Tamandua tetradactyla: one gene and its partners. The protein of the gene in region 1 purifies or fractionates together with the protein of each later gene. This does not show direct contact. Links are inferred from orthologs where the notes say so. Each region holds a gene or a part of one and is shown in the gene's direction. Other genes may lie near its edges.

Evidence for each region.
Region 2: the proteins of KPNA2 (region 1) and PRMT1 fractionate together in Homo sapiens (co-fractionation; 3 studies listed by BioGRID, with this or other methods). This does not show direct contact. The link is inferred for Tamandua tetradactyla from reciprocal best matches to the Homo sapiens genes KPNA2 and PRMT1.
Region 3: the proteins of KPNA2 (region 1) and CHD8 purify together in Homo sapiens (affinity purification with mass spectrometry; 4 studies listed by BioGRID and IntAct, with this or other methods). This does not show direct contact. The link is inferred for Tamandua tetradactyla from reciprocal best matches to the Homo sapiens genes KPNA2 and CHD8.
Region 4: the proteins of KPNA2 (region 1) and PHF10 purify together in Homo sapiens (co-immunoprecipitation; 3 studies listed by BioGRID and IntAct, with this or other methods). This does not show direct contact. The link is inferred for Tamandua tetradactyla from reciprocal best matches to the Homo sapiens genes KPNA2 and PHF10.

Annotation. Positions count from the first base shown.
Region 1 is NC_135332.1:6,063,435-6,071,356, reverse strand, and holds the start of KPNA2 (importin subunit alpha-1), read left to right. Parts: upstream 1-4,633; 5' UTR 4,634-4,741; intron 4,742-7,922.
Region 2 is NC_135342.1:11,469,332-11,477,047, reverse strand, and holds the start of PRMT1 (protein arginine N-methyltransferase 1), read left to right. Parts: upstream 1-4,458; 5' UTR 4,459-4,473; coding exon 4,474-4,704; intron 4,705-5,013; coding exon 5,014-5,169; intron 5,170-5,319; coding exon 5,320-5,383; intron 5,384-7,140; coding exon 7,141-7,283; intron 7,284-7,716. UniProt on the Homo sapiens protein: Arginine methyltransferase that methylates (mono and asymmetric dimethylation) the guanidino nitrogens of arginyl residues present in proteins such as ESR1, histone H2, H3 and H4, FMR1, ILF3, HNRNPA1, HNRNPD, NFATC2IP, SUPT5H, TAF15, EWS, HABP4, SERBP1, RBM15, FOXO1, CHTOP, MAP3K5/ASK1, MICU1 and NPRL2.
Region 3 is NC_135340.1:35,007,167-35,015,138, forward strand, and holds the start of CHD8 (chromodomain-helicase-DNA-binding protein 8), read left to right. Parts: upstream 1-4,558; coding exon 4,559-5,413; intron 5,414-6,296; coding exon 6,297-6,668; intron 6,669-7,972. UniProt on the Homo sapiens protein: ATP-dependent chromatin-remodeling factor, it slides nucleosomes along DNA; nucleosome sliding requires ATP. Acts as a transcription repressor by remodeling chromatin structure and recruiting histone H1 to target genes.
Region 4 is NC_135337.1:73,934,898-73,943,282, reverse strand, and holds the start of PHF10 (PHD finger protein 10), read left to right. Parts: upstream 1-5,283; 5' UTR 5,284-5,298; coding exon 5,299-5,391; intron 5,392-6,432; exon of another isoform or gene 6,433-6,442; coding exon of another isoform or gene 6,443-6,535; intron 6,536-8,385. UniProt on the Homo sapiens protein: Involved in transcription activity regulation by chromatin remodeling. Belongs to the neural progenitors-specific chromatin remodeling complex (npBAF complex) and is required for the proliferation of neural progenitors.

The DNA of each region.
Region 1 (7,922 bases):
TTTATGATTGCCTAGAGATGGAAATGGCACAAATATCCATCAATAGATGAATGGCTAAACAATCTGTGGTATATACATACAATGGACTATTATGCAGTTGGAAGAGAGAATAAAGTCATAAGCCTGTGTATTAGCTAGGGTTCTCTAGAGAAACAGAATCAACAGGGAACATTCACAGATATAAAATTTATAACAGTGTCTCACATGACTGTGGGAACACAGAGTCCAAAATCTGCAGGGCAGGCTGTGAAGCTGACGATTCCAATGGAGGGTCTGGACGAACTCCACAGGAGAGGCTCGCCAGCTGAAGCAGGAAGAGCCTGTCTCTTCTGAATCCTCCTTAAAAGGCTCCCAGTGATTAGACTGAGCATCACTCATTGCAGAAGACACTCCTCTTGGCTTATTACAAATGGAATCAGCTGTGGATGCAGCCGGTGTGATCATGATTTAATTCTATGAAATGTCCTCATAGCAACAGACAGGCCAGTACTTGCCCAACCAGACAAACAGGTACTACCACCTGGCCAAGTTGACACATGAACCTGACCATGACAACATGTAACAACATGGACTGACCTTGAGGACATTATGCTGAGTGAAATTAACCAGAAAATAAGGACAAATATTGTGTGGTCTCACTCATATAAACATTAATGAGTGAACTTGGAGAATTGAAGTTAAGAACACAGGTTATCAGAAGATAGAAATAGAATAAAGATTGGGCAATTGGTGCTGAAGGAATAAAGATTGTGCAACATGACTAATTGTAAAAAATTCAGAAATGGGTAGCACAATATTATCTGATGGTAGCACAGTAATATAACTACACTGAATGAAGCTGAATGTAAGTATGATAGAGGGAAAAGGGCTGGGGGCACATATGAAAGAAGGAAAGATAGAGGATAAAGACTGAGATGGTATAATTTAGGAATGCCTAGAATGGACAATGATGGTGATTGAATGTACAAATAAAAAAACATTTTTGCATGAGGGAGAACAACTGACTGTCATTATTGCAGGGTGTTGAAAATAGATGGTATATGGGAAAAAGCACAATCAATGCAAGCTAGGATCTATAGTCAACAGTAACATTGCAATTGCTTCCATTGAATGTAACAGAGGCATTTTGCCAAAACTAAATGTCAACAGGCAAGGGGCATCAGGGAGCAGTATGGATTCTTTGTGGAAGAAAAGGAAATGGCTTCATATAGATTATGGTGGCAAAGGCATGACTATATACTTAGGGTGGATTGTATGATGTGTAAATAAAACTGTTTAAAAATGAACAGAGAGAAACAAGTGCCAGAGAAAATGCAGAGAAAGAGATGTACCTATTCACTGTTCGTAGGGAAACCGAGAGGTGCAGCCCCTTGGAGGGCAGTGTGGTGGTGCCACAGGAGGCTAGGGGTGGGGTTGCCATATGACCCTGAAACCCATTGCTCAGTATATACCTGTAGGAAGTGAGTGTGGGGACACGAATGGACATTTGCGCACTGGTGTTTATGGTGGCAGTGTTCCGGATCCACAATGGATGGAGGTGGCCTAAGGCTACAAGGACTGAGGGATGGAAGGGGGAACTATGGTGTAGACATACATTAGACTACTGACCGGCTACAAGAATGAATGAAGTTGTGACTCATCTAGGCATGCAACTAGATGAATGAACTTTAAGGACTGTCTGTTGAATGAAATGTCTGGAACAAAAAGACAAATATCATCATGCCTCCATCATATGGACTAACGATAATATAAAAACTTGGTGAACTAAAGTCAAGAACTTGGTTTATCAGGTCGGGGCCTATTGTAAAGGCTCCTAGATTGTAAGCTCTTACAGCAGTCACATATATGCAGGAGGGGTCACTGTTAGTTCTAGATTCTGTGATACTGAGCTGTTTGTATATAACCTGGTCATTCCCAAGAACTTCAGGTATTTATGTGACACCTGAGACTGTTAGTTAGAACTCTAAAGCTACGAAAGTCAGCAGTACTCCATACCAGAACTGTTTAAAAAGATGAAAAAGTGATCAGATTGTGTAGAGATTTGAATGAAGCTGATCTGGACTAATGTATATCAGAAGACTGGGTAAAGGATGTTATCATCCATATTTTAAAACTTCAACTTCTCTGTGAGACTAAAGGGAGAGATGCTTATTTGGTGCAAAAATTATACTTTGGGTAGCCCATTTCCTACATGGAATCTTGAATAGGGTGTGAGTTTTTTTGGTTTGTCCTGGTTCGTGTGATGTCCCAATATATCACAGAGTAATTTAGGCAGAATAAAGAAGTATTTGTGATGTCCCCTTGGGGGAATAGGGAGAAAGGAGGATATATTCAATCTTCCCAATTTGGAGAATTTCTGATATTCTTGCTAGCAGTGTGGACCACCAAATCTATAGGCCAAACCCTCAATCTTGGGGTTCACCTCTATGAAACTTAATCATGCAAAGGATGGGCTAAGACTACTTAAAATTAAGCCTAAGAGTCACCCCCAGAGAACCTCTTTTGTTGTTCAGATGTGGGCTCTCTCTCTAAGCCAACTCGGCAGGTGAACTCACTGCCCTCCCTTCTATGTGGGATATGACTCAACAGGGGTGTGAACCTCCCTGGCAATGTGGGTCAGAAGTCCAGGGACAAGCTAGAACCCAGCATCAAAGGATTGAGAAAGCCTTCTTGACCAAAAGGGGGAAGAGAGAAATGAGACAAGATAAAGTTTCAGTGGCTGAGAGGTTTCAAATAATCGAGAGGTCATCCTGGAGGTTATTCTTACACATTATATAGATAATCCTTTAGTTTATGGTGTGTTGAAATGGTTGGAGGGAAGTACCCGAAACTGGTGAGCTGTGTTCCAGTAGCCTAGATTCTTGAAGACGATTGTATAAAGATATAATGTTTCCAAAGTGACTGTGTGATTGTGAAAAATTTGTGTCTGATGCTTTTATCCAGGGTGTAGACAGATAAATACGGATAAAAAATAAATAATAGGGGGGTCAAAGGTTAAAATAAATTGGATAGATGGAAATACTAGTGCTCAGTGAGAGGGAGGGGTAAGGGGTATGGTATGTATGACTTTTTTCTTTTTCCTTTTAATTCTTTTCCTGGCGAGATGCAAATGTTCTAAAAAATGATCATGGTGATGAATATACAACTATGTGATGATATTGTGAGCCACTGATTGTCCACCATGTATGGAATATATGTGTATGAATATTTCTCAATTTAAAAAAATACATATATATATATGCAAATATAAAGAATATGACATTTTCTGGGGTATTTAGAAGCTTTAAACCACTACAGGGGGTAATTTGTTATGTAGCAACAGATAATTAATACATAGCTGAAGTCCTTCAACTTACTTTGCTTTCCAGAGATGATAACTATCCTGAATCTGGTGTTTCTATCATTCATTTGGATGTCTTCCTGTTATGACATACTAACTACTATGGCAAACAAATCTTATATATTGATTTTGACTTTTTTTGAAATTTATACTTCCAAATTTTAAGACTACCGTATAATAAAAACTGGGAAATTTTTCTGGGGACTTCCTTGCCTAAGTGACAATGAAATGCAAAAAGACATCTAGTGTAGAAGTAACGATGACTGAAATAATACTTAAATATATCGAGAACTTACTCTGTATCAGGCACTATTCTAAGTATTAAATCTCTACAACAACATATGAGCTATCCAGTTTTATCATCCCTGTTTTTCAAATGAGTAACTGAACCACAGAGAAGTTAAATAACTTGCCAAAGATTATATAGCAAGTAATTACGTAACACCGAAACATCAGCCACTGCCAGTTCTCTTTATATTAGGTAGGAAGAAAAAGGAAGGGAAAAGAACCATTAATATAAATCACAGCTATTAGAGGCCCCCTTTTCTAATGGCTGCCAAGTCTGAGTTGCCTTCTTCTATCACTAATTCCATGTCCCCTTACCCTCAGCTGGGCACGATTCTTTGCTTGGTGGCGTAACCAAAAATTGATTCTCATAGGATATTGGGGTCATGTCTTTATGACCCCAATAAAGTATAGCAACTTTACTGTATGCTATACTTTTCCATTAACCAGATCTTTCTGGCAAAGGAGTACTAAGAGGTGTCCCAGTGAATCCTGGGTTCTAGACACCCCCTCCTTCCTTCATGCAGTAACAGTGCCTGTTCCCCCCCCCCCATAACCACATCAACCACAGAGGCAAGTCCAGTGACCCCCTTCTCTGCCTACTAATTCAGTGGAGCCCCAAACGACCTCAGCTTCCAGTGCCATGGAACCGTCATGATGCTTCCCCCTCTAAGCAATTCTCTCTAAGGCACCAGGGAGACCTAGAACCACTGAGTCCCAGGTCACTGGCCAGGAAAACAAAAATTCTTCCAGCAAATTAGAGGTAGAAGAGGGAGGGGACACTCCTCCCTCCTTTCCTTGGTTCTTGGACCCCTGCCTCCTGGCAGCTGGTTTACGGCATATTCTGCATCTCAACGGCCAGAAATCCCAACCTCACAGGCTGTTCTTTCCCAGCTGGCCCCGTACCTGAGCCTGCAGCAGGCCACACCCTGCTGGCACCAAGGCAGCTGCTTCTAGGTGACGGGGCACACGGTCAGGGTCAGATCAGTGGAATACGTGGACAAGGGCCCGCGGTCAACCTTTCACTGTCACATGTCCCACGGTCACATGTGGGAGGGACATGGGGAGAGGGAAGGCATCATCTAAGTCTGCTGGCAAGTTCTGCAGGCAAGGAAGGCAAGTTCATACCCAGAACCCGGGTCTGGCCCGGTGAGCCGAGGCTCTCTCCACCCACTGGAGTCTCATCACTGCAAACAAGGGAGCATTGTTCCGCCTCTCCGGGTGTGGCCCGCACCTCTCAGCGCCGCCCTCTGCTGGCCTGTTCTAAGACCTGCAGCCACAGGCAGCCTCCCTCCCAATCCCCTCCGCCTGTTGCTCCCTCACTGATTTGGGTGGCTCCTTCTCCTTTTATTTGAGGAGTTTCTGGTGTCTCTTACTTTCACTGAAGATGATGTTTGTGGTTCTGCTTCTCACCCTCCTTGTGTCCTTTGTGGGATTTCTGAGAGGAGGGGAGAAAAGTTGCAACTTTGCTCTGTCCTTTGTAACAGGAATATCATATAATTTAAAGCAGGACAATTCTGAATACTAATAGTGTATTGTGATACTGACTCGGATGTTTTTTGGCATGCTTAAGTGAGTTGTGAAAGTCTGGATTAATGTAATACTGATTAGTGCTTGTATTTATCCAAGGCTTCAAAAATTAAAATCCCGAAAGATTTGGCATTTGGGGTGAGCAGTAATATATCTCCAATTAGAATATTTTCTAAGTAAAATAAGAATATTACTATTAATGACAGTATAACATAATTAATATGTTATTGATTATGTGTTATTTATTAATATCTGCAGTTAAGATATCAGGAGTATTTATAGTATTCCAGGCCCTGAACTAAGTCCTTTAAATGTAATAACTCATTTCACCCTACAATAACCCCATGAGGTAGGCATCATTATGAATTCAAATTTAAAGATGGTGAAGTGAATACTGAGAGGTTACATGGCTTGCACGCGTGGCTTGCACAGCTCATAAGAAACAAAGCTGAAAATCTTCATTCATAACTACTGTTTTGCTATTCTGCTTCTGAAAAAGACAGTAAAATAGAAAGGTTCCATCAAGAGGGGAGAAGAGAAAGAAAGAAGGGGGATCGTATTAGAATAGCTAGAAGGAAAGAACTGTAACTGTGGAACGTAACCCATTAGCCTTGATTCGTGAACACGGCTATATAATTATATCATTTTTACAGTGTGACCATATGATTGTGAAAACCTTGTGGCTGATACTCCTTCCTTATTGTATGAATAAAAAAAATAAGGATAGGGCGGGCCGCGGTGGCTCAGCAGGCAAGAACACTGACAATAAATAATAATGGGGGTGGTAAGGGGCATGGGATTATTTTGGGTGTTCTTTATCATTTTTATTTTTATTTTATTTTACATGTATTTTGGGGGGAATAATGAAAATGTTCAAAAATTGTGGTAATGCTACGCACTAGAGTAACTTTCCAGAAACCTTTAGCCTCCAGATAAGTCCTGAAACCTAGAGTTCCCAGCGTCTCCAGAACCTCAGATAGTTCTATCTTCCTACCCTATATTAGTGACAGACCCTTCCAAGATGAAAAAGTTAGGATGACCATAGCCCAAATACCCCTAAAGAGAGGGATAGAAAGATCAAAGGTGATGATAGACTTATACAGAGAAGGTAGGGTTTAACAAATAAATATGATTGCTGAATCACTAAATTGATATCTCTTTTAGTCTCCAGTATCTTAGAGAAGCTAGAAGTTAAAACTTAAAATTGTAGAATTGTAACCCACGCCAAACTCCGAAATATGTTCTGCAACTAATTGTGGTGGTGTGCTTTGAAATTTATTGCTTTTTTGTATATATGCTATTTTTCACACACAAAAAAAGTCGAATGTGATGAGAAAAAAAGTATTTATGCCTTCTAACCTCCTATATTCTGGAGCAACTAGAAGGAAAAATCTGAGAGGATGATATGGTAGCCCACGACAAACTCTGGGATTGGTTCTGCGACTACTTGTTGAAGAGTGCTTTGAAAACTACTGCTTTTTTCTTTCTTTGCTTTGTATATATGTTACACTATACAGCTAAAAAGTTAGAAGAAAATTGTAATGAATGTACAACCATATGATAATACTGTGAAACACTGATTGTACACTTTGGATGACTGTAGATTATGTGAATAGATATCAATAAAATTGCATTAAGAAAAGAAGAAAGAAGTAGGCTCATGGCCAGTGTTGGTGGCATTGTCACTGGGAACAAAAATTATGCTCCAAATGCCTTACCTGAGAAAACACAAAATTTCAGCCTTAATCTTCCTTCTATGCAGCCTCTAGATCTTTGTACATGCTAGCCACAAGGCGGGCACGATTTTTGATAAGATGCCCCATTTCCTAATGGCCTCTGACAGAGATTTTCAAAACTTTGTTTCACTGACAATTTTGTCCCCACTTTCATGTATTTTCAACCTAATAGATGATATCATCCCTTGAACAGGGTTCGCTACTTTTTGGAATCCAACAGAGAATAACACGTTCTGAATAATAAAACAGGCAGAAACTTAGAAAAAAAAAGTTGGCCAATGATTATAGCTTGTTCCTGTACTTCCAAATGAAGATGCCCTAACTTCTAAGCATATGACATATTCCGCAAGACCGTATTTTTCAGAGGGCCAAAAAGGTCTTTTAAAACAGAGGGCACTATCTGTCCTAAAAAAAAACAAAACAAAAAACCCCACAACTTTCCTTCTCTGCTGTCTTCTTTTATTCTCTTATGCAAACAGTTCTATAATGATTGCATGGTTTGATGGGGAGGGGCAAATTTTAATCGTATTATCCCAAGGCAGATATAAAAATTGTTTAATAAAATAAACACCGCCACACAAAAGTCATTCTAAAACAGGCAGAAAAATCATTTGGTGATAAGTGAATGTTGATTTAAAAAGTCTTGATGTGTGTGCTGCTGGAGAAAGAAAATGGGATATAAAAATAAACAATATTGCATTTTGAAGGACAAATGCTACAGGTATATCTACAGAGGCGATTATGCAAAATAAATATAGAAACTTAATAGAAGAACATATTGGGCTTCCCTGTATGCGTCAAGATAATTTTTACATGATCAAATTAAACAGAATAAAAAAATTAATATCCCAAAGTAACCAAGCACAGAAACAGGCACAACTGATCAATGCCGTGCAGAGAGAGTGACTGAAGGGGCACCCGAGGGGGAATTTCTGCCCGGAGCAGTGTCCCGTTTCTTGAGCCGGGGGCTGGCTACACAGGTGTGTGCAGTTTGTGAGCATCCGTCCAACCGCACACACATATGATGTGCC
Region 2 (7,716 bases), on another chromosome or scaffold:
CATAATAGCTCCTGGCCCAGTGGGCTGCTGGGGGCACGATTGCTGGTGCCTCCTAAACGCTCTGGTAAGCCTGAGCTGTACTTGGCCATAGTTATACAGTGACAGTTGCAAAGAAAGGTGAGGAAAAGTCAGTCCCGCAAGCAAGGGAAGAAGGCTCTGCACAATAGCGCAGCACAGTGGGGGCGCTGGGGGCACTCCTCCCAAAGTGGGGGTGGGTGGGAAGTCCCTCTTCGGGGACCCCGGAAGAAGGGCGGCTGTAGGGGGTGACACAGCTCAAGAGTGTCGTGGAGACGGACTGTTACTAACCAGGAAATGGTGGAAATCTCAGCGGGGAGGAGTTCGCTAAGGGGGAGTGCATGCCAGGACGTCTATTCTTTGCAGAGGCCCGGAGATATTACATCCTGCACGTTAAGGGATTGGAGAGAAGTTAGGATTGAAGAAGGTAGGGGGATAGAAGCCAGGAGAGACGGGGTTCACGAATTCAGTCCTTTTTACCTATCTTAAACGAGTAATTTTTCTTGCACGTCCAGGAAGGCTTCTTGGAGGAGGTGACGTCTAGGATTCTGCCAAAGGGAGGCGGTGTTCCCGCCTGAAGGCAGGGCTTGGGCAAAGGCCAAGAACCTTGATGGGGGGTTGAGGCGGTTAAAAATTGGAACACTTAAATAAAGGCCTAGGGGTTAAATGCTTTGGCGTCTGAGCCCTACTCTTAACTTGTTAGGGGACCCCAGACAACTCTACCCTCTCTCTGAGCTTCCCACTGCTTCAGTGTTTCCCTTAGGCAAACGGGCAGCGGCTCCCTCAGTCCTCCTGATTTCTCCTGGGGTGGGAAAATCCTCCGAAGACAAGACGAGTGACAGTTCCTTTAAGCCGATCACCGGAGCTCACAATTCTACCCTCCTCCGTCGGGGGCCAATCGCCTTGCTCTCCTTGAGGTCTCTCCAGCCCACAAGAGGCGGCTTAAAGCCTCGTGACGTCACCTTTCGTCCAAACCAATGGCAGCGATCAAGTTGCGGGCAGTCTTGGTGACGGACAGATCTCTTTTAAGATGTCCGCTTAGCGCAGGGCCTGCCGGGAAGCTTTGAGACGGCACTTAATGGGAGGGGGAGGAACTGGGCGGGAACTCCTGGTTGACTCTGCCCAATCACCGCTCGCTCTTCTTGGGATGGACGGACAGTCTTCCCCATCCCGGACGACTTGAGGGGGCGGGGCCTTGCACGCCAACTTGGGAGGGCCCTTCAGCCTTGATAGGCGTCTATTCCACCCAATTGCCAAACGGCATTCCCGGATCGGCCGCCTCCACTGCCAATGAGATCTCCTGACCGAGTTGCTGTGGGCGGGCCGTGGCCCCTCCGGTATAAGGCGATCCCGGGGGAGCGCGGAGAAAGGGGGGGGTCTCGGCGGCCGGAGGAGGAGTAGGTGCGGGCGAAGATGGCGGCAGCCGAGGCCGCGAACTGCATCATGGAGGTGAGCGTCTGGCGCGCCGCCGGGGCCGAGGGAAGCCTGGGGGTCGGTGCCTTATGCCTCGGTCGTGGGGAAGGGACTCCGAGTCGGCGGGTTGGAGCTGGAGGCGCTCAGCGGGACGGGAGGGGGGCGCATGCCCGGGATCCGAGGGCACCGCCTGATGGGGGGGGGGGGCTCCAGAGCTTTCCGGGACCTGCGGCACCGCCGAGTCGAGGGTTTCACCCCCCCATCCCACGTGGATGAGGGCTGGGGGCGCTTCCGGCCGGGCCCCCACGTGGCCGTGGATGGGGAGGGGGTGTGCCGTGCCCGGTGGCCCCGCGGGTTCCACGTGCGGGACAAAGGCCCCGCCCCCGGCCGGGGGAGGGGCGCTCCGGGGGGGTGGAGAGGAGGCTCCGACCCTGCCTTGGGGCCCCCAGCACCCCCTCGCCGGATCCCGGGACCCAAACAGAACCTACCTTAGGGCCTTCCGCGATGTAGGGGATCTCTTGGGTGGGGCCGTGCTACCCGACCCTTCACTTTCCCCCCTCCCCCAGGTCCGGGGGCATCTGCTGGGGCGTCGTTTCAGGTTTTGAGTCCTCTTGCTTGCGGTTGGAGGAAAACGAAGAGTTGGTCCCCCACCGCATTCGCTTCCTGTGCCTGGACTCTACCCCGCCTGGGGCTTTATGAACTGGGGGGGGATGGGGCATGCCCCTGTGACCTCCCCGTGGGTGGGGGTGCGTCTCGATGGAGGAGATCATTCCCGATAAGGCCCCTTGCACCCCCTTGTGGCCATTTCTGGTTGTGGGCGGGATCTCTTTTTCATGGGGCGTGTCTCCAAGTCCACCTCCCCCTTAGTGCTTGCCCGGGCTAGGTGGGGGTCGGGGGGAGTGTGTCTGTTGAGAAGGGGGTCTTTTGAGGATATAGGCTCCGAGCGTTTGCCCTCCACTGGTGCCCTTTCGCTCCTTGGGGCATCTGTGAGGTGGGAGACGACCTGCCTCTTCTCCTAAGCCCCCGTGTGTATGTCTCCAGCCTGGATTCAGGAAGTGATTTCCATGGATACTTGATTCTTGTGTGAACGTGTGGTGCCATGGCCGTGTTTCCAGCCTGCTGGGGCTGTCTGGTGGTGGTGGGATCAGTGGTTTCGGGAAATGGGCCCCAACAGGAAATCCCCACTCCAGCTGCCCTTCTCACAGGTTTCAGAGAGGGCTTAAGATTCGGGGCCCAAGGTATTATGGCCTGTGGCTGTGTCTTTCCTGGAGCCTGCAGGGTGGTCACATGTGGAAGAGATGTTGTCTGATGGTGCTCCCATACCCCCACCTCTCACTGCATATAGCCATCCCTGGAGTGTGGGATCAGGGCCCGAGATGCATGTCCATGGCAAGCAGCGCCCCGGGGGCCACTCATTTCTTTTCCCCATACAACCCAGACCCAGGAGGTAGCCAAGGAGGAGGGGAGGCATATCTCCCCCAGAGCTTGCTTTACCTGGGGGGTGGGGGGTTCAGAACTGAGATGGGTGTCTGAACCGGAGAGAAGGGCTCAGACGCCCCGGGCCCTAGCCTGGAGTCCCCTGAATCTGGCCCTGTCCCCTGGGACACTACCTGCTTGGGGAGAGGCTAAAAAGGGGGGAGGGTTCCTTCCAACTGGTTTTGTTTGGCTCTGTCACAAGTGCCCATGTGCCACACCTCCTTTCTGGAATCCTCTCAGATGAGAGATTGTTTTGCAGAGGGGGCTGTTGCCCAGTGGGCACACCCTGCCAGCATCCCCCCCCCCCCCGCAGCTATTCCTGGTACCTTGGGGTGGGGGTGTGTGTCAGAAGGTGTCACCTAATCTGGGGGATTAGATGCGGGGAGTGACAGCTGGCAGTGCCTGTGTGCCCGGCGGTGCCAGGTCCTTTGGCATGGATGGGGGAGGTGTGTAGGCAGATGTCTGACTAGTGAGGGGCAGTGAAGGGATGGGCTGCCATCTCTCCAGCCACAGCTGGGACAGGAGAACCCCTTTGCTTTCCCCCTACCTCCCCCTCCCATTTCTTAAACAGCCCTCCCTCTTAACTTGTTACTTCTGCCACCTCTCCCCACCAAGGAAAAGGAAAATAGCAAGAACCCCCACTCCACCCGGAGCCCTGGTGCCCAGTCCCCACCCCTGGCCTGGCCCTCCCCCTACCACTCCCATTAGCTAATCCTTTCTCCCTGTTACTCTCTCCTAGAATTTTGTAGCCACCTTGGCTAATGGGATGAGCCTCCAGCCGCCTCTTGAAGAAGTAAATATCCTTTTGTGAGACCCCCTTCCCACCTCCATATAAATACATCCTGCCACACATTAGACCTTTTCCCGTGCTTCTAACCATGATCCCTTTGGCTTCAAACCAGGTTACCCTGTGCCCTCCAAACCCTTAGTACACTTCCCTCCAGGTTGGTGGCCCCCGGCTGGCCTCCTCCCATATTGTGGCTACTTCCTTAACTCCACTTCCAGCCCCCCTTGGCCCTCCCCTGTGTCTGCCCCACTTCTGCCTTCCCCTCCCCTCCCCAGCTGTGGGCTGAGCTAGAGACGGGGGCAGAGAGACGGAGAGATGGTAGGCGTGGCTGAGGTATCCTGGATGGTGCTGGGGGGGGTCTTGGAAGAGAAAAATGGGGGTGCTAGGGTTTGGGGTTCCTGGGGGAGGCAGGATGGCAGGCGGGGGCTCTAGGGTCGCCCTGGTAAGACTGGTGTGAGGGGAGGGGAGCTCTCTACCCTAGGGAGAAATAGGAACCTGGAAGTCGAAGAGGCCGTGGGAGCCCCCAGATTTGACCCATGCTCCCATCCACCTCCTCCCAGGTCTCCTGCGGCCAAGCAGAAAGCAGTGAGAAACCCAACGCTGAGGACATGACATCCAAAGATTACTACTTCGACTCCTACGCGCACTTCGGCATCCACGAGGTGAGCGTGGACAGCTTCTAAGGAGGGTGAATCCCACGCGGGTCAATGCCCGGGAGGGGCGAGGCTTCCTTTCCCACGCATGCGTGCAGTCTTCCCTGTCCCCGTGCCGCTGGTCTGCGCATGCGAGGCCTCGCGGGAACTGGGGGCCTCTCCTGGCGGTTGCCTTGGACACCGAAGTTAGCCCGGAGTGGGGCCGCGTTAGGGAAACTAGGGTGGAAGCGTGGAAGCGCGCATGCGTGCCCAAGACTTCAGCCCAGTTCTGGGCCTGCTGGTCTCTGCCGCCCTCTCGTGACTACTGGTGGGACTGCAACTCCAGCTGCTCATTCCCGTTTGCAGATTGAGGATGTGGAGGTCCCAGAGCACAGCTGGGCTAGTTTGGTGGGGGGACTCTTTTTTTTTTTTTTTACATTAACTGAAGTCATTTTAAAGCCAAAGATGGCTGAGGCTTAGGTGGTCAAATTCAGCTAAAATGAGAGTTTGATCCATTACACCTGGTTTTACGAACAGTGACTGAAATGGACAGAAAGGTCTTATTCCACGGGGACTAACACGTGGGAGGGCTACGGTTGGGCTCTCCAAACCGTCAGCGTGTTGGAGGCCAGGCCACCCCGTTTTGCACACGGGTCCCCTCATGGCGTCTTTGTGCCCCGCCTCCCCCAGGAAATGCTGAAGGACGAGGTGCGCACCCTCACCTACCGTAACTCCATGTTCCACAACCGGCACCTGTTCAAGGACAAGGTGGTGCTGGACGTGGGCTCAGGCACGGGGATCCTCTGCATGTTCGCTGCCAAGGCCGGGGCCCGCAAGGTTATCGGGGTGAGTCGGAGGGCGGGCAGGGGGTTGGGGGGGGCCTGTTGGGGCAGGGGACGAGGGGGGGCCTGGGGGACGGGAGGGCCTGGGGGGGCCGAGGGGGGGTGGGAGGTGGGGGATGGGGGGGCCTCACCCTCCCTTCTTCCTGGACCCCAGATCGAGTGTTCCAGCATCTCTGACTATGCCGTGAAGATTGTCAAAGCCAACAAGTTAGACCACGGTGAGCCCAGGAGGAAAGCGGACTGGTGGGGACGCAGTGGGTGACTCTCAGATTCCCTAGGGCCTCAGCCAGGGGGTGGGGGCCACTGATGGGGCACATGGGCAGCCGTCCCTTCCCTGGGGCCTTCTGGGCTGGCATCGGGCTGAGAACCCGTGACCGCTGGCAGCGGGAGTGTGGTGCCGGCTTTGAGTGGCGAGCTCATTAGCGCTTCAGTCTTAGTGTTAGGGCAAGGAGCAGTCTCTCATCTCCTGACTAAGTCTGAGAGTCGTGCTGAGTGAGGCGTCTCCCGTCTGTCCCTCAGCTACCCTTCTCTGAGTTTATCTATTACCTTCCAGCAAAATCTGAACCCACAAGGAAATATATATGTAAATGTTTGTGGGCAAATGAACATAGTTTTCACACAGATCTCATCTCATTCAGCTTTTACTCTTTATCACTTCGTTTATTGTAGTAAAATATATGTCATGAAAAATGACAATTTAATTTTCTTTTTAAGTGTACCATTCAGCGGCATTGGGCGTAGTCACAGCATTGGGCAGCCATCACCACTATATATTTCCAGAACTTTCCCATCACCCCAAACAACCCTCTGCCCATTAAGCAGTCACTCCCCTTTCACTTCTCCCCTGGACCCTGGTAACCTCTGATTTGCTTTCTGTCTCTATGAATTCGATGGCTTTAGAGATTTCATATATATGGAATCAAGGTGTTGGTCCTTTTGTGTCTGGACTGCCTCCGCAGCCCATCTCACATGTATCTGTACTTCATTCCTTTTTATAGCTGAATAATATTCAGTTGTATGGATGGAAAGCTCCCCATTTGTCCATCTGTTGATGGAACTTGGGTTGCCTCCACCTTTTGGCTACTATGGATAATGCTGCAATGAACAGTGGTGTGCAAATATGTGCCCGAATCCCGGCAGTCACTTCTTTAGGGGTATATACATAGGAGCGGCATTGTTGTGTCATAGGAGATTTCTTGGTCTAATGTTTTTTGGAATTGCCAAACTGTTTCCTGTCTTTTTTTTTTTTGCACCTGTTCATGTCTAGTTTTAACAAGCTTGCGGATGCTGAGAAGTGTCCTTTTGTTTTGTGACTGCCGTTCTGCACACACCTCACCTTTTTTAACCCTGTTCATGGGCGTGTGAGCCACTTCTGAAATTTCTGTCCCCTGAACATCTTGTCATTCCACATTTATTTTAAAATGTGAATTAGTAAGTTGGTAGATGTTGCCAAATTGCTTTTGGTGGCCATTCCACTTGCATTCCCAGTGGCAAGGCTGAGCATGCAGGAAACATTGGAAAGCAGTAGGTTTGCTGAGTGTGAGGGCTTGCAGCATTCTAAGAACCGGAGTGGTTTTCTTTTTTTCTAAAGAGACGAGTGTAGGACCCCATCTCTCAGCTTCATGCTGAAATAAATCCCAGCTGTGACCTCGGCTCACCTGTAAATCCTGTGTATGTCTCTAGTAGATCGGGCCTTTTGAGAAGCATAACCACACCGTGACTCGTTTGTTACATGTTTCCCATAACATATCCCATAATAATATAACCTTACTGTCTGCTGGCCGGTCTGTGGGAAATTTCTGCAACTGCTTCAACAACGTGTAGGACTCAGAGGGACCAGAGTGATGGGTGAATCTCAAGGCACAGTTAGCAAGCTCTGGCTTCAGAGCAAAGGGTTCTTGGACAGTGCCCCAGTCCCGCCCCCATGGTACCTAGGGAGGGGCCTCGGGGGGCTGATGGCCGCCCCCTCCTGCAGTGGTGACCATCATCAAAGGCAAAGTGGAGGAGGTGGAGCTGCCGGTGGAGAAGGTGGACATCGTCATCAGCGAGTGGATGGGCTACTGCCTCTTCTACGAGTCCATGCTCAACACTGTGCTCTATGCCCGCGACAAGTGGCTGGTGAGGGCCCTGCGGCTATGGCGGGCAGCGGACAGTGGACAGAACTGAATGACATTGGCAGGAGGGCGTTAATGCTGGAGGAAAGCAGCAGGCCTGAGGGACGCGGAGGGACTGGGAGGTGGCAGTTTTGGGGCCCAGGGCCGAGCAGGCCTCCCCAGGAGGTGAAGGGCTTGGGGGATGGATGGGAAGGAGCCAGGTGGAGCTGGGGGAAGAGCATTCCAAGTGAAGGAAATACTCAGGGCAAGGGTTCTGGGGCAGGGGTGAGGCTGCACGTTGAGCCCCAAGGAGGCCAGAGTAGAGTGAAGATCTGGAGCCTGGGAGGAGGCGAGGCTGGCGGAAGGGGGGTGTGCAGCTGTGTGAGACTGCCGCTACACACAGAGGAGCCCGGGAAGGTTCTGGAAGGACAGGCTGGGGCTAGGGTGTTCACAGGCAC
Region 3 (7,972 bases), on another chromosome or scaffold:
CTCCAAAAATCCAAGAAGAGTTACATTAGAGGTTATAAAGTTGTAAAAAATGTTGGTTTATACTTAGGTTGAGGGGCTCTCTTTGTAAAAGATTAGGAGTAGTTAGTTACCATTTAAGAAGGAGATGGGATGAAGGGCTATTATTGGCCTATATAGAGAGAATTTCTCTGACTGGTTAGTTGGAGTTTATAGATAAGTGGCCTTGAATTTTAAGTTTGACTGTTTTTTTCCATTTCCCCCCCATTCCCAAAATTTTCATCATGAGTCTGGTCATTATGGTTTGCAGTTATGGACAGTGACTAAAGTACAACTACTAAACTGTAGCTTTCCTTTTGAACACCTGTTTCTCTTTGGGGCAGTGGTAGGCCAAGTCCAGCTTCTCATTCTCCATATAATAAAAGCCTGTATGACTTCTTTATCCCAGCAGTTTCTTTACTCGGGGATAGATAAGTGCTTCATATATCATGGAACACGTGAACTTGGTAGAATAGGCTAGATGTAGATACAGTTGGGATGACCCACAAGTAGGAATGGAAGGAGGGTAAAGAAAATTGGAGATATGTTGGGGAGGTTTCATCTAGTGAGACTCAATAACAGCTTAAAGATATAGACGGCTAGAATAAAAAAATATATAAAATGAGACGATTTGGGTCAGTAGAGGTGACTTAATGGGGTGGGACTGAGAAGTAATGATATTTGGTGATGTGGCATTAAATTGGTATAGAAGTTTTTGAATGTTTGAGCCCTAGACTGAACTAGGAGAAGTAAAGGTTTGGTTCAGAATTAGGAAGGGAGAGAGAAATGGTAATGCATTGATTTATAAAAGCGTCTGAAAAAAATTCTCAGAAACTGAGAATTTATCCTATTAAAAAATGATGTCTCATGGAATGATTTCTAAATGTTGTGTTAGTTAATTTTTTTTTAATAAAAAAAAATGATGTCTCTGCCTAGGTTGGGCTATTATGGAAGGAAGGAGTACGTTAAGTATAATAAATAGTAGGAATTGTAGAAAGGACAAAGTACTCCATGGGAAAAAAAATGACACATTATAAACTATACCAATATAAACAGTCTTGTTAGTGGGGACTGTCTTTGTATATTTTTGTGACAGCTGAGAGTGAATAGGAGATGAAAGATAATAGGTGGCAAAGTAGAACATAACTGGAAAAAGTTGATAATGTTGACTTGAGAAAATTTGTAACATTATCTAGTGGGTTTTCATTAAATCAAAATACGTCTATACCTTCTCGGATCTCCATTCTGAGTAAATTTAGGGCAAGTATCATTTAATAGAGGCTGGAATAAGCTGGTAGAAGAGTTTAGCCAGAAGTGATATAGGTCCCAGGTGAGAGTTGAAGGATATACAGTTACTGAAGCAAAGACGATCTTATTTAACATTGGTGGAGATGCCATATTAATTTTGTAATTTTAATCAGTGCACCAACTACTGATGAGTCTATTCTTTCTGACAACTTCAGAGTTTCTGGAATATTATCCCACATTATATTGTTTTATAAGGATAACTGGAATAGGTTGAAGATGGAAAAAATAGAGCTTGTCAGTCATTTGGAAAAGTCTTCCAGTGAAGTCTGTACTGTCCTGCTGGCAAATTTCTTGTCTGGTGCCTTCTAAAAACTAAGAGAAGTGGTCTGCTGGATTGTCAAACATTGACATCATACACAAAGACTAAATATTGCTTTTTCGTGTATTTTAATTATGTGGTTATATATTTACAATTCCTTGTCTTAGGTAATTTTTCCTTTTCCGATAATTTCATGAACTTAAAATCCTAGACATGGATTTAGTAACTACACGTTCAGCCATTTGTAGGATAGTATTTTTTTTTATTGTAGCATAGAACATACATACAAAAAAGCAATAATTTCCAAGTACATTTTAACAAGTAGTTACAGAACAGATTTTAAAGGTTGGTATGGTTATAATTTCATGATTTTTCATTTTTTCTTCTAGCTACTCCAAGACACTAGAGACAGAAATATCAATATAATAATTCAGCAGTTCTACTCCTTTGTTAAATCCCATCTTCTCTGTTATATTCATCCTTCCCTTTAAATAATATATATGCATAAAGCAGTAAATTTCAAAGTACATTGCAACAGTTAGTTGTAGAACAGATTTCAGAGTTTGGTATAGGTTACAATTCCACAATTTTGGGTTTTTAATTTCTAGCTGCTCTAAGGTACTGGAGGCTAAAAGAAATATGATTCAGCAGTCATAATCATTTGTTATATACGGCCTTCTCTGTATAACTCCACCATCATTTGATCTTTGATCTTTCTATCCCATTCTTTAGGGGTATTTGGGCTTTGCCCATTTTAACTTTTTCATGTTGGAAGGGGCTGTCTGTAATATGGGATGGGGGATGGAACTAGTTGATGTTCTGGAGAGGCTGACCCCTCTGCATTTCAGGACTTACCTGGTCCAAGGACCCATCTGGAGGTTGTAGGTTTTGGAGAGTTACCCTTGTGCATGGAACCTTTGTAGAATCTTATATAATGCCCTAGGTATTCTTTAGGATTGGCAGGAATGGTTTTGGTTGGGGTTTGGCAAGTTATGATAGGTAGCATTATCTAACTGAAGCATGAGTAAGAGTGACATCCAGTGTAGCCTCTTGACTCTATTTGTACTCTCTCAGCCACTGATACCTTATTTTTTACACCCTCTTTTTGTCAGAATGGCATTGTTGATCCCACAGTGCCAGGGCTAGGATCATCCCTGGGATGTAGGAAAGATAGGAAGCTTTCTACTGTCTCATCTTAAAATCAAGAAATATTACTTAGTTTCTCTGAGGACTGAATACTCTCACAGATACTGCAAGCAAATATTTTAATTCATTGAATATTCTTTTGGTAGTTTCTGTGTGTGTCATACCCTACTGGTTGCTTAGAGAGCCATCGATAAAAAAGTCATGATCCCTACCATCCAAGAGTTCCCTTTCTCATGGGAAAAGAAGAACAAGGCTGTCAGGCTACCATGCAGGATTGTGCAGGAATGCATTGCACACATTCATAATCATCAATTTATATGTTCAGTATGACAGTTTTCCAGCAGGTGGCAGAAAAGCATTTTCAAGAGCAGGCAATTTTAAAAAATTTGTGCAAAGGAATCATTTGGACCTTAATAGAATATAGACAAGAATGCAAGTCATTTTAGTAAAATATTAAATCTGAGTGCCTTAAATAAGGTGTATACAGTGCTTTGGGTATCTAAGGAGGTGAAGGGATCACATCATCACAAATTGCTTAGTTGTTAAAGGGTCAGAGACCAGGGCTTACTTTATGGAAAGAAGGCCTTTGAGAGGTGGGTAGGATTTCAGCTGCGAGAGATGTTAGGGGTACAAAGGAGTGGGAGTTCCCAGGCATAAGCTACAGTATAATAGGCAAAGTCACAGAGATAGTAATCACATTCAGGAAACTATATGGTCTAATGGGACTGGAATTTAGGATGTATATTATGGGAAATGGTGAGAGAAAAAAATTGGGAATTTAAATTGGAACCAAAGTGTAGAAAGCCTTGAATTCTTTACAGAGGAAGTTTTTGATCTCAAGTAGAAAGATTTCTTAGAGAAAGGGGACTTTACAGCAGAAATGCTATATATAGATTAATTGATATGTTAGTTAGAATAAAGTCTGAAAAAGTCCCTCGGTAAAATCATAGTATAAGCTTGGTAAGATTGTACTATGAGATTTGTTGAAGGTGGTTATTTTTGCCAGTAGGAAGCAATGTTATCTGAAATATAAGAAAAATTTATAAGATAGAATATAAAATATCCTTTTATAAGAATATAGATAAGAATGTAGAAATCCTTATCCACATTCACTGAAATCCTGGTGATATATGGTTTTCAGTTTTGCCAACTCAGAAACGGAAAATAAAAGGTGAATGAAGATTAAATTTACTGATCTCTGCCTAAGAATTATAATTTTTAAAGGAATGGACAGAGGCAGTTGAATACTCTTGGCACCCAGGAGTTTAAAAGTATGTAGGTATAAGTTGCACAGTTGGTTCAGTGGTATAATGCTCGCCTGCCATGGGGGAGACCCAGGTTTTAGTCCCAACCCATGTATCCAAAAAACAAAAAAAAGTGTAGGTGTTTAACAGCCCCCAAACGGGGTTAGTTTGACTTTTCTTTTTTAGTTTTCTTTTTGAAACAGAAATGTGGGTGTTCTTTCCGTTGTGCCTCTATCCTCAGATTCTCACATTTGCCTCATCTCTTGTTTTATTATTTTGATGCTGTTTGCTAATAAGGTTAATACCTAAGAAGAAGAAATTTTCTCTGAGGTCACCAACTTTGTTTATCTTTGATTTGTATTCCCACAACAGGAATTTCATCATCTTCCTCTGAAGACCTAGCCATCTCTTGCTCCATGAAGGTCAGGACAATCTGACATGCACTTGTTTGTTGCCTCTTTACCTGAAGAGTAGTCCTCTTCCACTGTGTACATTTTTTTCTTAATAGGGGAGGGGAGGGGAGAGCCATTACCCCCCCTCCCCTTCCCTCCTTAGACCTTGGGGAATATTCCATTGCTTTCCCAAGATGGCAGACCCCATCATGGATCTGTTTGATGACCCGAATTTATTTGGCCTGGACTCTCTGACTGATGACAGCTTCACCCAGGTCACACAAGATCCCATTGAGGAAGCCCTTGGACTGCCAAGCTCCCTGGACTCCTTGGATCAGATGAACCAGGATGGTGGAGGTGGTGATGTGGGGAATTCTTCAGCAAGTGACCTGGTCCCACCATCAGAGGAAACAGTACCCACAGAACTTCCCAAAGAATCAACAGCTCCAGCTCCAGAATCCTTAACATTGCATGATTATACCACTCAGCCCGCCAGCCAAGAGCAGCCAGTACAACCTGTCTTACAGACATCAACGCCAACATCGGGACTTTTGCAGGTCTCCAAGAGCCAGGAGATACTGAGCCAAGGGAATCCTTTCATGGGTGTCTCTGCCACAGCTGTCTCATCAGCTGTCTCCTCCAGTAGTGCTGGAGGACAACCACCTCAGTCAGCCCCTAAGATTGTTATCCTTAAGGCCCCTCCAAGCTCCTCAGTCACTGGTGCCCATGTGGCACAAATTCAGGCCCAAGGTATCACCAGCACAGCTCAGCCCTTGGTGGCTGGCACAGCCAATGGTGGAAAAGTCACTTTTACCAAAGTGCTAACCGGCACTCCCCTTCGACCAGGTGTTTCCATTGTCTCTGGTAATACAGTGTTGGCCGCCAAGGTCCCTGGGAACCAGGCTACTGTGCAGCGCATTGTCCAGCCCAGCCGACCAGTAAAGCAGCTGGTCCTACAACCAGTTAAGGGTTCAGCTCCTGCTGGAAACCCTGGGGCCACAGGGCCCCCTCTGAAGCCTGCAGTTACACTGACCTCTACACCTACCCAGGTGACTTGAGTGAAAGGGGGAGGTAACTTTTGGTTTAGTAAAAGCCAGGCAACTGTGAGAGAGAGCACATATTATCAGTTAGTGTTGACAGTCACATGCTTATTACTTGCTAGGTGGGGACAGTTAGTGTTGACATATTTTTTGAGCTCTTACTATGTGTTTATACCATATCCATATACTACATGTTTATACTATACATATACTACATATTTATACTACATGTTTATACCGTGCCTAGCTGGTGCCAAATAAGACAGACACAGTCCCTGTCCTAACAGAGCTCACAGTCTGCTGGGGAAGACAGACATTAACCAAGAATTGACAATAATGTATGATATAAAGTTTTATGATATAAGAAATACAGGATGCTATGGGAACAAAGAATCATTTTTGAAGAATATATTTATATTGCAAGACTTATGGAAGCTATGTATCTCTTTCTCTTGTTCTTACTACTAAAATTGTCTCCCTTCTGCTCTGTCCAGTGAAAAGACTAGCTCTATTATAAGAAAGTAGATGCTCCATCCTCTCAATAAAGGGCTAAAGGAAATTAAGCAGTACTGAGACCAGTGGAAATCTACAAGAAGGCCAGATTTCATCATTATAAGGAGTTTTATTCTAATAGATTTCTAAAAATGAATGGCATTTCATTTCAAAAACATAAGAAGTTTTTAAAAAAATAGGCTTGCTATTCACTGAGCAGATATGTTTTAATAGAAAAGATTGTATCAGGATTACGTAGGAGGATGAACAAAATGAATTGTATTATGTCGTCTGATCCAGGATTTTTGTGATTTTAGGAGAGAAAGACTGGTAAATTGTTATAGGTGTACTATTCTTTCTAATATTGTACCTTTCTTGGAATTTCCTTTCTTTATTCTAGGGTGAATCCAAACGCATCACCCTGGTCCTCCAGCAGCCACAGTCTGGAGGTCCCCAAGGACACCGGCATGTCGTGTTAGGGAGTCTCCCAGGCAAGATCGTATTACAGGGCAATCAGCTGGCAGCCCTGACTCAAGCCAAGAATGCCCAGGGGCAGCCTGCCAAAGTAGTAACTATCCAGCTGCAGGTGCAGCAGCCACAGCAAAAAATCCAGATTGTACCACAGCCTCCATCATCGCAACCACAGCCCCAGCAGACACCTTCAACCCAGCCAATGACTCTGTCCTCTGTACAGCAGGCACAGATAATGGGACCAGGACAAAGCCCAGGACAAAGACTTTCAGTACCACTCAAGGTGGTGCTACAGCCACAGGTGAGGTTCACACAGTTAAGAAGGAAAACAGACCTCTAAGTCCCTTGCTTTTGCCTTCAGGCAACCACTTATTGTTAATGTGAACCCAATCTAGATTTAAATTTCTGATCTGAGATGCAGACTTTTATTTCTTTGTCTCACAGAAATCTTGTTTTAATTATATCATGCAAAGATTAGATAAACTTATTGTTAGGCTTGGGTATAAATGATTATCTAGTTTTGTCTTTGAGCTATTTTGTATATTTTTACAGTCTTTTTCTAATAACGTTCTTGTGAAATAAAAAAAAATTGAAATATTCACTCATCTGAAGGATAAGAAAACAGTCTTCAAGTGGTTAAGTAATTATCACTCCTCTCATCTCCCAAAGAAGTAAAAGTATGCCAAGAGTGGAATTTGAATTTTTTACTTCTAGCCCAGAGACCAGTATTGGTTGTATTAATTATAATTTGCCTAGAATAATGGAGATGGGTATTGATATTAAGAGCATGGCTAAAGGATATCGAAGTCTGATTTCATGAAATTCTTGTCTTTTCTCACCCTCTCCCCATCCCAAAAAAGTTTATTAATGTATCTAGGTTCAGTAAGACTTTGTTTGAGACTTGTTCTGGAGAAACTTTAGAATTGAAGTTACTAGCCTACCTGTGTCAGAACTGAACTTTCTTTAGACCATTTAGCTATAGGGGTGTTTTTTTGATGCAGTATTTTTTTAATGAATGAATGAAAGCGTGGCTAAGATTTCCCTCTGTAATGGGCACTGTCGATGTTCCACACTACCTTGCAGTCACTGCTGTTGCCTGCCTAGAATGATTGAAATAAAGATTTACAATACTTAAAAAACAAACAAAAAAAAACCCATTGAAGAAGTAATCTTTTTTTTTTCCCCAATTGAAAGGGGCATTTCTTAAATACACATGAATGCCAATGTAGGCTTTGCTAAGAAATAACAATTTAGTCTATAATGAATTAAGCACAGATTTCCCCTGGGAGCAGAATCATGTTAAATCTCTAAAATTTTGCAGGAAATAAACTACTGAATGGCCATCTTCTTTTCTTCAAGATAATATTACCTTTTAATTAAATGGGAAATGCATAAACATATTCTTCTTGTAAAAAAAAAAAGTAAATGTTACAAATACAAACATACACATGCATATACACATTGAAAACAAAGTATTGGTTTTGTTTGGGTTACAAAAATGGTTTTTCAGGTTACTTTTTTCCCTCACTTTTTAAAAAATGTTGTTTTTGCCCCCACTTTTAAAAACATTTTAGAGCTCTGTTTATATCATTTAAATCTCATGTA
Region 4 (8,385 bases), on another chromosome or scaffold:
AACACAACAAGCAAACTCACCACCCTCCCCCTGTCTACGTGGGACATGACTCCCGGGGTGTGGACCTTCCTGGTAACATGGGACAGAGATCCTAGAATGAGCTGAGACTCAGCATCAAGGGATTGAGAAAAACCCTAGAATGAGCTGAGATTTAGCATCAAGGAATTGAGAAAACCTTCTTGACCAAAAGGGGGAAGAGTGAAAGGAGACAAAGTGTCAATGGCTGAGAGATTCCAAACAGAGTCGAGAGGTTATCCTGGAGGTTATTCTTATGCATTAAATGGATATCACCGTGTTATTCAAGATGTAATGGAGAGGCTGGAGGGAACCGCCTGAAAATGTAGAGCTGTGTTCTAGTAGCCATGTTTCTTGAAGATGATTGAATAATGATATAGCTTTTGTTACAATGTGACTGTGTGATTGTGAAAACCTTGTGTCTGATGCTCCTTTTATCTACCTATCTACCTTGTCAACAAACGAGTAGAACATATGGAATAAAAATAAATAATAGGGGAACAAATGCTAAAATAAATTTAGTTTGAAATGCTAGTGATCAGTGAAAGCAAGGGGTAAGGGGTATGGTAGGTATAATCTTTTTTTTTCTTTTCTATTTTCATTTTATTTCTTTTTCTATTGTCTTTTTATTTCTTTTTCTGAATTAATGCAAATGTTCTAAGAAATGATGAATATGCAACTAAATGATGATATTGTGAATTACTAATTATATATGTTAATGTTTTATTTGGTTTGTTAATTTTTTATTAATAAATAAATTAAAAAAACTTTTAATTGAAAACAAACAAACAAAAAACTGATGGAGTATCATCTTGGGAGCATAACTTGAGTTATGACACTCTCTGCCCTTCTAGTTCTTGGTTGCCTTTTGGATTAAATACAGATTTTTCTGCCTACACTTAAGGTTCCAAATTCTACATAATATAATAATAAATACCATTTTCTGAGGCTTAATGGATCTTAATAGATATCATACACATCCCTAATCATAGCAACAATTCTCACTACCACCCCTGCCTCTAACCTCACTTCTGCTCCATGTTGGGTTATATACTCTCCTCTGTACTCAAATATTATCTCACGAAAATTTGTATAACTATGTCCTCCCCTCCTGCCCCCCAGATACCCACTGAAGAGGACAGGCCCAGTATCACCTCTTCCCACCTTTCCTTCCCCTACAAAGGCTATTATGGCTGTACCTGCTGTCCTAGAACCCTTTCCCTGCTCCACCTCACTATCAGCCTATATAAAAGGGGTGCATACACCCTGAAGACACCTTACTGTCAAACTAAATATTCTGGTCCATAACTTCAGAACTGATTTTCTGCTGTCCTCTAAGAACCATGACGATCAATAATAGCAAATGCCACATAAATGTTTTCTTCAGCCACTATCACAAATCCAAACACCCTGTGATCAGACTCTGCTTCTCTAAGCCCGGGTCCTCTGGCATGGCAGGCAAGCGTTCTTGCCTGCTGAGCTACCGTGGCCTGCCCTTCTCTGAGCTTTTTATGGTGGCTTATGGAACCTTCTTTATGTGGTTCAGCAAACTCCTCTAGATGCCCAGCCTCTCTTGTATTCTGAGTTTCTTTCCTTAGCAACAACCTGATTGTTATGAAGGGTCCCAATGCAGCCTTCCCGAGTGAACGCTGTAGTTCCTCATGCCTTAAAACCAGAAGGCAGGTAGGCAACTCTTTTGACCTTGAAAAACTTTGAAATTTTATGTTATTAAGAGAGTTGAAAATGACTGAAGCAAAGCTAAGACAGGACAAGACCTAGGCCTGCATGAAATTATTATAGGAATAATACAGAAAAAGTCCTACAAATCTATAAATATAAAATAAGATAAGCTGCTTCAACAACTTCTGGTTTAAATTTCTCTAGGAAAAGAAAGCCATTTATTATTAAAAATGGAGCATTTCTTCTACTGTGGATTGAAGAATGTAATAAAAACAACAAAAACCCCCAATCAGTTTGGCTAGCATTCAGGCCAAAGTGTTGAATTTAGTTGAAACATTGGAAGAAAATGGTAATTGCAAAGAGACTGAATTTCTTTTACTGCCAATAAAGACTGATTTCATTGTATCAGAAGTTGAGATGAATTGTTTAATTTTAAGCCCTCTGGTAAAGCTGCTATGTGGATAAGGATGTTGCTGGATATGTCTCCCCAGATTCCACAGATTATTTAAAGCAGGTGGTTGTCTCAGAGGAAGTGCTGCTGGTTAAAAAAAGAAAAGAAAGAAAGAAAGAAAAAAAGAAAAGAAAACTTCACATCAAAGAACCCTTCGAGATATTTCATGACACTGAGAATGCAAAGGATAAAACGTTGGAAGCTTATCCAAATTTAGAAAGGAGTATGATAGTTTGTCAAGGCATAGAAAAGATACTCATCATATCATAAGTTACAGATTGAGAAGAAGGCAAGCACAGTTTGAACTACTCTTGATCAGTTTTTTAAATAAAGAAATAAAACAATTCTGTTTCTAATATTTCAGATTGCAGTATACTAAATATTAGTTTATTTTTTCATTCCCTATACCTTTATAATCAGCAGAGCATTTTTAAGGTTTTGACAGTAAATTTTTAAGGCCACAGAACAATTTTCCTCGATGATCAATATTCTCTTGGCACTGTATCAATTTACATGGCCATTTTTATAGTCCTGGACTAGCATGCAAAGCTAGGATTTCCTAGCTTCGATTCCTTGACCGACTCACCTTCAGTGACCTTTTTCTTCACTCCCCTTTGGTCATCTATTTCTTGGTTTACATGCTAGACGTTTTTATCACTGATATTAATATGACCTCTACAATCTTAATTTTAAGTATGTTATTGTCACACAATTATCTCTTGTCCTTCCAGCTCACCACCTTCATTCTCATTGACATGCCCAATTCATTGGCCTATTTCACTGTTTAATATCCTTTTTGTTTGTTTGTCCTTTTTCAGCTTAGATTCCATGGCCCATATTTATAATCACTTCCTTATACACACACTCCAAATTCTTTTGTCCTTCCTCAATAAGGGAAATCTATTCCTAGATATATGCCATTTTATCTTTTTCCAAGCCTACATCCAAGCAGCTAAAGTTGGCTGAGAATATCTCAACCAGGCTGAGGGATTTCACTTTAAATCCCATGACCACAAACATCAAAGGGTCAAGCCACACTGCCTGGCATCCTAGAAAATTTGCTTTCCCACTCTCTGAGACACTCTTTTGCATGATCTCTCTCCTCAAATCTCCTATATGCCTCTCCACTACTCACTTTCAGTTGAAGCCTCAGCTCATTAAGATAAGGGAAGCTATCAGAGGTTCCACCACCCTATGAACCTACTTGCATCTGCAGCAACATTCTCTGTCTTCCTTCCAGTAACAGAATGGATGACTAGTGCTTCTCCTATCAAAGGCTTGTCCCAGCACTTGTGTTCTGGATGATCCTATTCCTTCTTGCCTTCTCAAGAGTTGCCTTCTGTAAACTATCTCTTCTCTCTTGCACCAAGACTTTCCCCTTTATGTTGAGTCATTCTTGTCAGCTATGAATTTTCTCCCATCTTAAAAAACACAAAAAACAACACCTCTCCAGCTAACCCTTTCTCTATGGCTCTTGACAATAAAACTTTACAGAAGAATTACCTGTATTCTGGCTCCAATTTCTAGCCTCCCATTCATTCTCCAGTCGATTTCAGCCCAGCTTCTGTCACCACCTCGCTACTCAAACAACTCATGTCAAGATTGCTAATGACCTCAAGTTGATCAAATCACTGGACATTTCTCTGTCCTCATCTTATTCAACTTCTCAGATGATACACATAGCTGACCAGCTCCACTTTCTGAAGTATTTATCTTCTTTGCTTCCAAGACCCCACACTCTGTTTTCTTCCTCCTCCTTCTCTATTTAACTTCCACAAGGATCTCTGGCCTCCTTTGGCTTGGATCTTCTTCAAACCTCAATTTACATATTCTCTCTATGTGGTCTTCTGGAGTTTTATGGCTGTTTTTCTTCTTCACCACTGTATTGTCAGTGTATAACTCAGGGCCTAACTTAGTGAACAATAAGGAAGTATTTGATGTATTAATGAATAATTGTTTCCTTACATCCCATCACCCAACCCAGTTCATAGTGTGCCATAAAATATTTGTGGAATAACTGAATGGGTGTTATTATTCTTATCTGAAAAATGAGGAAATGGCGGGTCAGAGGCATTAGGTAATTTACCTATGATCACACAACAAATAGCCGGGATTTAAACCAGTCTTAACTCTAAATTGCTTATTTTCTCCATTACATCGTAATGCCTCTTTGTATATTTCATCTCAAATTCCTAGAACCCTCCTTCATTTACTCTATTCTCTAGCCAAACTAGAATAACTGATGGTACCTTGAGTATGCCTCATATTTGCTGATCTCTCAACTTTTTCTGGGTTTAGAACCCTCATTTTCACTTCCAACTGAACATATTACTATTGAGTTGAAGTCTTACCTATTTCTTGATACTTTAAAAATTCTATCTTGACTTTTAAATCTTAATTCTTCTAATTGCAATTAAATTTTCTCCCACCTGAGTGGCCTTTAACAACAATTGCCTCATATTCTTTTAGTGTTGAGGCAGCACATGGTCAGGGCCTGTCACCATACGGTGCCTTCTTAACCCTGTCTACCTTGAACACCGAAGGCCAGATCACTATCTGCTGACTTGGAATGAGATGTTTTAAATTTGCATTTCATCTAGAGATAGACTAGCCAAGGAAGAAGAGTACAACTAAATAACTGAATATTAACTTTTTTATTGTATAGTATAACATATAAAAGAAGCGACCTAGTGAACCCTGAGAAGTTGGATTAACACTAAATTCAAATACAACAGCTGCCATTTTCTTGGCGCTTCCTCTGTGCACTTCACAAACCCGATTGTATTGCCCCTATTTTACAAATCAGCAAATTTGGCCTAAATGCCCGGTCCCAAGCAGGAGGCAGCGCCAACGTGAAGGCCAGCATGGATCGAGGCTCCTGGAGCACAACGTGGTGACAGGACCCTGTAAGGAGTTCTCCCCGCAGCTGTGTCCCAGGGCCGGGTGCGGCGTTCCACTGCAACTCCCGATCCCCGGACCCCGTGGGCGTTTTCCCGGCAGCTACGGGTCCACTGGCCCTGTGCGGCTTCCTCCCCTCAGCTCCGGGTCCCCGGACCCCGCGGGCGTTCTCCTGGCAGCTCCGGGCCCTCCTCCCGCGTTCGCTAACACGGCCGCGGCGGCGGTGCACACCACATCTGTGAACACACAAAAGCATGTGCAAGCAGTGGAATTTCAGCTACTTTGACATTTTACGGTTTTTGACTTGCCTTGGGTTCCATGTGGAAAGACTTTTTGATGAAAGGAAGGTAAAGACTGAATCGGAAAGCACACATTCAGTGGGATGTGATTCTGTGGTCCGACGTGCACGTGGAGCTTGGCGGCGATGAGGACGCGAGTGGAGAACAAAGGCAGGGCCGAAGACCCGGGCGAGGGCCATTCCCGCGCCGCGGCGGAACCCGGCGCACGCCTGGAAAAGCGCGTGGGGGGCGGCAGAGCCCAGACTCGGGGGCGCTCCAGAAGGGGCAGGCGCCAGAACCCCCGAGCGTGAGCGCAGAAGGCCCCGGGGGCGGGAGGCTGCCTGGGGCGCGGGAGGCGGTGAGTGCAGCGGCGAGGACACGGGGAGGGGTTCGGGGCCGACCGAGGGGTCTCCGCGAGGCCGGGATTCTGCCGGAAACCTGGGGTCTTTTGGGGCCGGGGGCGGGCGTCTTTGGCAGGCCGGGAGGTCTTTGGGAAGCCGGAGGGTCTTTTGGAGGTCGGCGCTCTGCTGGAGACCGAGGGGGTCTTTGGGAGGCCGGGGGGGTCTTTGGGAGGCCCGGGGTCTTTGGGGAGCTAGGAGTCTGTAGGAGGCCGGGGGGTCGATCGGTAGCCGGGGTCTGCTGGAGGCGGAGGAGACCCCGCGGAGTGGGCGGCGCGGAGAGGTGGGAGCCAGGCGAGCGAGCGGGGCGGGGGCGGGGGCGGGGCGCGGCGCGGGCTGCGGGCGCGGAGAGGAGCGGTGGGAGGAGAGGGCTGACGTGAGGAGGGGGCCGAGCTGCGCGCTCTCCATTCCGCTCCGGCGCCGCGCCGCGCCTCTGCGCTGCCCTCCGCTCCTCCGCGCCGGCCGCGGCGGCCGCGGCGGCCGCAGCGCTGGCGGCGACCATGGCCGTGTCGGTGGCCGCGCCGAGCCGCGGGGCGCGCGGCGGCGGGGCGGCCCGGGGCGGCGGCAGAGGCCGGCCTCCGGGAGGCGGCGGCGGGCGGGCGGAGGGGGCGGGGCCCGGGGAGCGGACGCCGCGGCGGCCTCTCCGCGCGGCGGCGGCGGCCGCGGCCAGGACTAGGCGGCGGCGGCGGCGGCGGCGGCGCGGGGGGCTGGGGCTCGGGCTGATGGCGGCGGCGGCGGCGGCGGTCCCCGGGACGGTGCTCTCCCCGCGGCTGGGCGACGGCGACGCGGCCATCCCCGGAGCGCCGTCCCCGAAGGTGAGGAGTGGCGGGGCCCGCGAAGGTCGGACGGGGAGGGGGGCCCCAGGGCCGGTCCCAACGGCGGTCTGGCCGTGCGCGTCCTGGCGGCCGGGGTCTCAGAGAGTCAGGAGGTGTCAGAACCGGGGGCCCAGGGATTTGGGGGTTGTTGTCAGGGATCTCAGGGCTGGGGTCCTCAGAGCCGGGGGTCCTCAGAGAGCCTTGGGGCCTCAGAGCTGGGGTTCTCGGAGAGCCGGGGCCTCAGAGTAAGAGGGTCCTCAGGGAACTGAGGGGTCTCAGGGCCAGGGTCCTCGGGGAGCCGGGGCCTCAGAGTAGGCGATTCTTAGGGAGCCGGGGCCTCAGAGTAAGCGGGTCCTCGGGGAGCCGGGGGGGGGGGGGGGCTCAGGGCCGGTGCCCTTCAGAGGCGGGGAGTCCACGGAGCGGCCCCCGAGGGTTTGAGGTCCCGAGCCCCTTCCCGCCTCGGAGAAGCAGGAGGAAGTGCGTCGCCGGCAGCTCTGAATACAAGTCCCGCCTCCGCCCCAGGCTCGGGCGGGGTCCCCGTCCACTCATTTGGGGGTACTTTCCCGGCTTGTGTCGCGGCTCCGGGCCGGAAGGCCGCGTGACCTCGACCCGGTAAAGACGAAGAGACTTTCGCGGCGGTGGGCTCGGCCTGACCCTTGGTGACCTTCCCCGCTTGGTGGGCTCGGCCTAGCCTCGTGACTCCCCCGCGGGGTGGGCTCGGCCTGACCCTTGGTGACCTTCCCCGCGGGAAGCCGGAGGAAAGCCAGGAGGAAGGAGAAGGGGTTTGTGTGTGAGGAGACTGAGCCGCTTCCCAGACTAATGGAAGGAAAATTCTACTTTTGTGTAGAAATAAAACTTTCCTCGTAAATGGGGAGAGTTTTTCCATATTAGCTTAGGATAGTATAGGTATATTTGGAAAGAATTCATTTGACAAATATTCCAAAATACTTGAGCTTTTATTAAAAAATGATTGTAAACAACTATAAAAAAGCCAGACAGTTCAGTTAGTAAACTTAGTAGAACTAAATTAGTAATAATAGCCATTCTAATATTTCTAGTGAAATGTTTTCACTTTTGTAGTTTGTATTGTTTTCATTACAGTTAAAAGGACTTAGAATTTTGAAGTAAAAGATGAGTGGAGAAAAATTTGGATGAACTGTACGATGTCATGAGTTTTTTCATTTTGTTTTTTTAATTTATTACAGTGTCATTAATTTGAACACTTGTGTTTCTAGAGTTTGTATAGTCGATTGTGACAGTGTTACAAGGGAGGAATGATTTTTAAAAATCTCAAAATTTAATTCAGAATTTAAGAGTTGGAATTAGAAGATGCTGAAAGAGAAACAAAGCCTAAGCGCCTCTCTTTCCCCCAGGAAGCAGAGCTGTGGGAGCCTGGTTTGCAGGGCAGGTAGGCCTGCGTGTCCCACCGGGGCAAGTAACTGGACCACATGCCTTTCTCAGCCTGTTGGGTGTGGGGGCTGCTCCCAGCACCTGGGGTGTACAGTGTGCCTCCTGGAGGCATGTCCCCAGGTGGGCACACAGAAGCCTTCACTCTGGAGGAGGGAACCACCTGTGACTCTGAAACACAAAGGTCTGCATTAAGTACATTTCGGAGTCTTTATTATTTTTTTATTTAGGTCTTGTCTTTCTTTTTTTTTAATTTTAATTTTTGATCATTCGGTTCTACATATATAATCAGTAATTCACAATATCATCACATAGTTGCATATTCATCATCATGATTATTTCTTGGAACATTAGCATCTGTTCAGAAAAAGAAATAAAACGAAAACAGAAAAAAAAAATTTATACATTTTTTTTACATGTATATTATACATACATACCCCTTA